Linked DNA regions of Sus scrofa. The protein of the gene in region 1 interacts with the protein of each later gene in a pairwise test. Links are inferred from orthologs where the notes say so. Each region holds a gene or a part of one and is shown on either strand. Other genes may lie near its edges.

Evidence for each region.
Region 2: the proteins of FNDC11 (region 1) and GPBP1 interact in binary tests that used the Homo sapiens proteins (3 or more experiments, as listed by UniProt). The link is inferred for Sus scrofa from reciprocal best matches to the Homo sapiens genes FNDC11 and GPBP1.

The regions. Positions count from the first base shown.
Region 1 is NC_010459.5:62,556,749-62,560,544, forward strand, and holds FNDC11 (fibronectin type III domain-containing protein 11), read left to right. Parts: upstream 1-1,545; 5' UTR 1,546-1,935; coding exon 1,936-2,940; 3' UTR 2,941-3,213; downstream 3,214-3,796.
Region 2 is NC_010458.4:36,265,716-36,269,527, reverse strand, and holds part of GPBP1 (vasculin), read right to left. Parts: intron 2,540-3,812; coding exon 2,416-2,539; intron 2,292-2,415; coding exon 2,068-2,291; intron 839-2,067; coding exon 772-838; intron 1-771. UniProt on the Homo sapiens protein: Functions as a GC-rich promoter-specific transactivating transcription factor.

The DNA.
Region 1 (3,796 bases):
GGGCCTCAGGGACAGGCGCCCTATCCTGGAAGGGTCCCCACCAATAACCTGCAAGGGAGAGGGGGCGCCAGGGATGTCCTGAGGCTTGAGGAGATTTCCGGCTGGGGCAGAGGTCGTGATGCTTAGGTTCCCAGGGAAGGGAGCGAAACCTCTGGGCAGTTCTGTCCAAGCTGAGACCAGGGCGAGGGACGGGGCTGGTGACTCATCCGGGACAAGCGGTTTGTTCGGTCCGGGTCCTGGGCCTGGGGGGCGCGCCCCGCGCAATCTTCGCACCTTCCTGCAACTCTTCCAGCCTTCCAGTCCGGACCCCCGATCCCGCGCCCTGGCTCCCCGCCCACCCCGCCCCCTCCCCGCCCCCTCCCCGGGCGGTCGGGGCGTCACAAAGTCCCCATGGCAACTCGCGGGGCGCCGGGCGGGAGGCTGGAACCGGCGGCTCCGCACGCACACACAGTCGGACCGCACTGCTCCGCCGGCGCCGGGAGGCCGGGTAAGTGTGCGCGCGGGAAGGCTGGGCGCGCGGGGAGGCGGCCGGGGGTTGGAGGACGAGGGGGTTGTGGCGGAAGTGGGCGGGTTGAGGGGAAGTGGGTCTGAGGCCAGGGGTGGGGGGTGGGGGTCGGGGTGGGGGGGTGTAGGTGTGGACAGGCAGGCCAGGGGCCAGGGCAGGCGGCTTCTTCCCCGAGTTCCCCAGCGGCCCCTCTGCGGTTTTCCAGCTAGAGACTTGGGCCCTGGCGAGGCCTCTGAACTGAAGCCAGATCTGGAGCCTCTGGAGGCGGCATGAATCTGTCCCAGGCTCCAGCCAGCGCAGGACTTTGCCAGGAGTCCAGGGGTCTTGGTCTGGGTTGGCAACTCACCCCAGACATCCTCTCTGCAGTGCCCAGGGCCTGGTCCGCCGCCTCTGCCCCTGGAAGGTCAGGGCCTGGCCTTTGGGGAGGGAGACCGACTTGGGTCCCGAGCCCACTCTGCACCTTAACCGTGCAGCCTTGGATGGCTGCTCAGCCTCTCAGCTCCTGTTAGGGATTCTCCCACCCAGGTGAAGCCACTGGGTCTGTCTCACTGACCTGGAGGCCAGCTGGGACCGGGGACAGCAGCCAGGGAGCCCCAGCCTTGTGGCCAGGGACTGGGGCCACAGCCGTGCCCAGCTGTGGGTTCACCAGGCATCGTTGGACACTCAGCTGGGAGCCCGCGTGGGAGAGGGTGCAGGAGGAGACTCGGGTTCTGGCGTCTGTGGCTGCGGCAAAGCCTGGACGGAGAGCAAGCTAGCGAGCTCTGTAGCCCCATGCACCCCCTCTGTGAGGCAGGGTGCCAAGACCTCACCATTTGGGGCTTTGCTTGTGGAGTCAGCTCAGCAAGGCGCCCGAGGCCCCAGGACACAGCCGGGCCCGGGAACTGGCAGGATTATTCCCCTGGGTGAGGCCAGGGGCCACCCACCTCCCTGAGCTCGGCTCTGCACCTACAGAGAGGCAGGGAGGGCCTGCAGCACAGAGGTGTCCCCACGGGTTCGGGTGCTGCTCAGACAGGATCGCCCTGGGTCCTCCCAACTGCCCAGGGGAGCAGATGTGGCCTCACAGCTGCTCCGTGGGGGTTCCCCGTGGGGGGTTCTGGCCCAGAGCCCACGGTCACTGCCCTGCCCTGTGTCATCACAATCCATCAACAGAGTGTCACACCCTCAAGTCCACTTTGACCCAGATGGGCAGCCTGCCCACTTGGCCCTCCAGACAGCCTCGTTCCAGAAACCAGCCCTCACCCCAAACTCCTTCCCCGCCTCCCACCACCAGCCCCCCAGGCCAGGGAGGACAGAGGGCCCGGCCGGGGGGTCAGTGGGCCTGAAGTCACCCCCCACACCAACGCTGCCCCAAGAGAGCCCCCGGGTGGGCAGCAGAGGCCAGTGTGACTGTTGCAGCTCACGCCCCGCCCTCCATCCCCTGCTCCCAGACCATGAACTTCCAGGTATCAGGCCTGGGCCTGGACAACATGAAGCTGGACTGTCCCCAGTCCTTCCTGGACCAGGAGGAGGAGGCCGAGGAGGCCGAGGATCAGCAGCTGCTGGAGCCGGAGGCCTGGCGCACCTACGTGGAGCGGCGCAACGCTCTGCGCGAGTTCCTGACCTCGGACCTGAGCCCCCACCTGCTCAGGCGCCACCACGCCCGCATGGACCTCCTCCGCAAGTGCTCCTACTACATCGAGATCCTCCCCAAGCACCTGGCTCTGGGCGACCAGAACCCGCTGGTGCTGCCCTCTGCCATGTTCCAGCTCATCGACCCCTGGAAGTTCCAGCGCATGAAGAAGCTGGGCACCGCCCAGACCAAGATCCAGCTTCTGCTGCTCGGGGACCTGCTGGAGCAGCTGGACCACGGCCGCTCCGAGCTGGACGCCCTGCTGGAGTCGCCCGACCCGCGGCCCTTCCTGGCGGGCTGGGGGCTGGTGGAGCAGCGGCTGGCGGACCTGGCGGCCGTCATGGACAGCTTCCTCGCCATGATGGTGCCAGGGCGCCTGCATATCAAGCACCGCCTGGTGTCTGACGTTGGCGCCGCCAAGGTCCCGCACATCCGGCTCATGCTGAGCACCAAGATGCCCGTCGTGTTTGACCGCAAGGCCTCGGTGGCCCACCAGGACTGGGTCAGCCTGCGCTGGTTTGTCACCATCCAGCCGGCCGCGGCAGAGCAGTTCGAGCTGCGCTTCAAGCTGCTGGACCCGCGGACCCAGCAGGAGCGGACACAGTGCGGGGCCATCCCCGTGGCCGCCTGCACCGTCGCCGTCCGAAACCTGCTGCCCAACCGCTCCTACAGGTTCACCGTCAAGAGGGCGGAGAGCTACACGCTGGTCTACGAGCCCTGGCGGGACAGCCTCACCCTGCAGACCCGGCCAGGGCCTCCCGAAGGGCCCGCTCCCGGCCGGCTGGGCAAGCTCAGCCCACCCCTGCCCACACCTTCCGAGAGATGATTTTCTAATATTTATCCACTAATAAAGAGGAGTATAAACGCACACACACAATTAAAGAAACAAACCTGCTTACGTTCGAAAGGCGGCAGCAGCCACGTGAGTGTCTTTCCTGACGCAGCCCCAGGCCCCCCCACTCCTGCTCCCTTCTGCGGGGGGAGCCCCCGCTGGCCGCTCCAGGAGCCCAAAACCCTGGAGCGAGAAGTCTCAGCCCTGGCATGGGGCTGCCACCACCAGGATGGGAGCGGCACCAAGGCTCTGCCCCCCACCCCCTGCCCCGGGGACTTGTTGGCAGCACCCCCACCCCTGGCTGTGGGGACAGTGGAGCCCCGTCACAGTGCCGCCTTGGGACCTGGCGCAGCCTCCGGCTCTCTTTCCTGCCCCCTAGCCTGGGGCTCCCGGGGGGAGGCCTGTACCCTGCGTCCCGCCCCAGCACTGCTGCCCTCAGCGTCACTGAGCCTGCGGCCGAGGCCAGAAGGACATTCTATTTTTTGTTTTTTTAATGAAAATAAAAGTCTTGTCTTCTCCCCCAAAGAAGCGGAAGTTCATCTGCACCCCATCCCAAGGCGGGGGAGGGGCCTGGCAGGGAACCCTGCCTGGCAGGTTCCCCCCGATACAGGCCAGTGCACAGCTCCTGTCGGGGTCACCCCACCCCCCCAGCCCATCGCCCCGGGCCACCCTCCACGGGGTCATGTGACCTCCGGCTCGGCCAGCAGCGCCCCCACGCACACGTCCACTTCCTGAGGGGACGCGGCCTTCGGTCTACCTGCTCCCGCAGCGCGGGCCTGTTCGGGGCGGCCCCAGGTATGCGGGCTATGGCCAAGGAGGACAGTCAGCTGGAGGGGGCCGGAGCCACCCC
Region 2 (3,812 bases), on another chromosome or scaffold:
AATTTTAATAGAAAAATAAAAATACAAATTCCAAAGTGGATACATCACCTCTGAATTTGCTATCAAATAATTAATTTTTCAGATATCAAATCTTCACATTTACAATTTTTCCATTATTTTAAACTTCACTTGAACCCTCTAAAAAGCTAACTAATTTGTACTATGAGTGCAGTTTAATCTTCTGTAAGATGCTATCAAATTAAACTCTCAGCAGTTTTAAAAAGGGAGTTATTAGTAGAAAAACTGTCATTAAGATTTGATAATCAAAAAGGCAAGTAATTTGAAAGACTAGTTCCATAGGCGTGATCCATACAATTACTTTTAATACTATGGATAACCATTTTCATTGGTTAAAAAAAATTAACTTTGTATCACACTATGATTAAAAGTACTTATCTTTCCAGTTTCAACTTTCAAAACCACAAATTAACTAAATTTTTTGTTTCTTAAGATTACCAGACTGCTCTCAAAATGACATCAATTCATTACATTTTAACTTACAATCATTTTTTTTTAAAAAACTCATATTTGAGTGGCCTTAAAAGTACTAACATGTATAAATCAGCTATCCAAATTAGGATCTTCTTCCATCCCCAATATCGTATTTTTTAAAGATAGATGCTACCTTTTTTTATAGATCAGCACATCAAAAACAAATATTTAAAAGAGAAAGTTTAATTCTAGCCTATTTATTAAAAAAAAAAAAAACACAAATGTGAGACCTAAAAATAACATTTTATACCCCTCAAAGATAGATCAAAAATTACTTACCCCATACACCTGCAGCTAAAGATTTATTCTGATTTGGTTCTCTCTCATATTCAGGATTTAAAGACGGCTAAAAAATTGGAATAAAAAGAATCAAACAAATGTTTAAAATGCTCATATTTAAGAAAAAAAAATCCTTTTAAAAATAATCTCGGCGTTCCCCTTGTGCACAGTGGAAACAAATCCAACTAGGATCCATGAGGATTTGGGTTTGATCCCCGGCATCGCTCAGTGGATTGGGCATCTGGAATTGCCATGAGCTGTTGTGTAGCTCAGACGAGGCTCAGATCCTGTGTTGCTTGGCTGTGGTGTAGGCCAGTAGCTGTAGCTCGGATCTGACCCCTAGCCTGAGAACTTCCATATGCCATGAGTGTGCCTAGAAAGAAAGATAAAAAAGTAATCTCAAAACCATACTAAAAAATCTAATATAATGAACTCTTAACTATTAAAAACCAATTACTGGAGTTCTCTTGTGGCTCAGCAGTTTAAGGATTCAGCACTATCACTGCTGCAGCTTGGTTTCCATCCCTGGCCCAGGAAATTCCACATGCATCCAAAAAAAAAAGGGGGGGGGGGAGAAAAAGACTCCAATTATTCATAAACCTTACTTTGCGCTTATTCTAACAATTAAAATGGTTACTATCTACACTCACTCCAAGTTGGAGAGAACAAGGGAAGTGTCTTTAAATATTCTCATCCCCAACTACCTGAGGAAAAAGTGTGAATTTGGGGAAAAAAAAAAAAAAAGCAAATGCAAGGAGATGTAGTCTTTGCATCAATATGAGAAATCATCCTTTCTTAGCATAAGGTCAAGATCAGGGACAAGAAAATCAGACTGTCACTCAACTGTTCCATTAGGTTTCACCACTGGATGCTTTAGTTAACAAATTCATTCTCAAAGCAATTTACAGATTCATATTTCAAAAAGTGATGCTCAGGGTATTAAACAGAAAACTGAGCTGAGCACTTAATATATACTCTAAAGCTACTCTCAGCAGATATTTACTCATCAAAAAAGGGAGATTGTTTAAAATTCTATAGCGAATAAAATGACAAATTTATCCAAAATTGTAAAAGACCACACAGGGAGACACAGAAATTAATGGGGGGGGGTGAGAAAGAGGAATAAGATTGGGGGAGGAGAGAGTTATGAACAAAAAGCCTCTAAAAATGTTAAGATTAACTTAAACTGTCAATTGTGATCACTTTGGAAAATGAGGTGTCCTAATTTCCTAACACTTGATGCTTAAAACAGCACTTACAGAAATCTCATTTGTATTAAAATTACAAGAAACTTACAAAATCCTCAGCCTCAAACTGTTTGCGTTCTCTCTTGTCTTCTTTCCTCCCCGTTTCATTGTCGGGTATGTTATTTTCATGAAGTCCTTGGTTTTTTCCAGAATGGAAAATACTGCTACGAGAACGGGAGCTTCCACCATGGTATCCCCCTCGGTGATTTATGTTTTCAGTACCATTTCTTCCATGTGTACGCCATCCATTTTTTTCTTTCCTTCCAAAGTTACCTTTATTTAATAATAGTGAAAGTATTATAAATTCAAAGATAGTTACACTTAAAGATCCAATCACAATCAAAATATCCTTAGAAGAATATGAAGAAAAAAACTCTTGATTCTTAGCAAAATGTACCTCCATTAGGACGTCCAATACCAGAATCAAAGCCATCTGAAGAATTGTGTCGTCGACGATTCACATCATAACGATTTTCTGTCCATGAAAAGTTTTCAGAATGCTTTTCAAAATTCAATGACGACTGAAACAAATTATAATACAGGTAAACGTACAAATAAAACGACCACAACTTTTAAAATTTTTAGTACTCTAATTTCATTTATTTAAAAGAATTTTAAACAGTTAAGAACATTTTGTGGTTATTTCCTATGTGTTCGGTACTGGTAACTCATAAGATGGACTCTACTGTTCGTCTATTTTTTTCTACCTAACCACAAACAAGAGCACCACTCCTAAAGAACTCAACAATTATTTCTATTTACCCAAGTCTTTATTTTTTTATTTTTATTTTATTTATTTTTTTTTTGTCTTTTTGCCATTTCTTGGGCCGCTTCCACAGCATATGGAGGTTCCCAGGCTAGGGGTCCAATCAGAGCTGTAGCCACCGGCCTACGCCAGAGCCACAGCAACGCGGGATCCGAGCCGCGTCTGCGACCTACACCACAGCTCACGGCAATGCTGGATCCTTAACCCAGGGCAGGGATCGAACAAGGGCAGGGATCGAACCCGCAACCTCATGGTTTCTAGTTGGATTCGTTAACCACTGCGCCTCGACAGGAACTCCTCTATTTACCCAAGTCTTTAAAAGTAAAATGCTAGCGTAAGGGAATCAAGGCAAATACACTGTACACTTTTTTTTTTTTTTTTTGCGCCACACTTGTGGCATGTGAAAGTTCCCAGGCCAGGAATCAAACCCATGCCACAGCAGCAACCAGAGCCACTGCAGAGACAACCACAAGAGAACTCCCCTATAGTGTACTTTTTTTTCTTTTTGTCTTTTCTTGAGCCACTCCTGTGGCATATGGCGGTTCCAAGGCTAGGGGTCTAATCGGAGCTGTAGCCACTGGCCTAATCCAGAGCCACAGCAACTCGGGATCCAAGTGACCCACACCACAGCTCACAGCAACGCCGGATCCTTAACCCACTGAGCAAGGCCAGAGATCCAACCCGCAACCTCATGGTTCCTAGTCAGATTCGTTAACCACTGCATCACAACGGGAACTCCAAGTGTACTTCTTTTATAACAAAATGCTATACTGTGTATCACACACTATTTGACTTAAATAGCCCAAGGTTTTCTTCAGCATCAGAAAATTATGGCAAATGAAGCTACAGTTCTATTTTAAGTTGTCTAGGTTTATTTCCAAACTCCTCTTCCCCAAAGCAAATGCTTTTAAAAATCTGTCAAAAGAAGAATGTGTAAAAATGATTTTAAAAAATTAGAAATGTATTAAAACATTTAAAAGTCACAACTATTCATAAAGCTCACTGTTTTCCCCAATAATAATCCATTA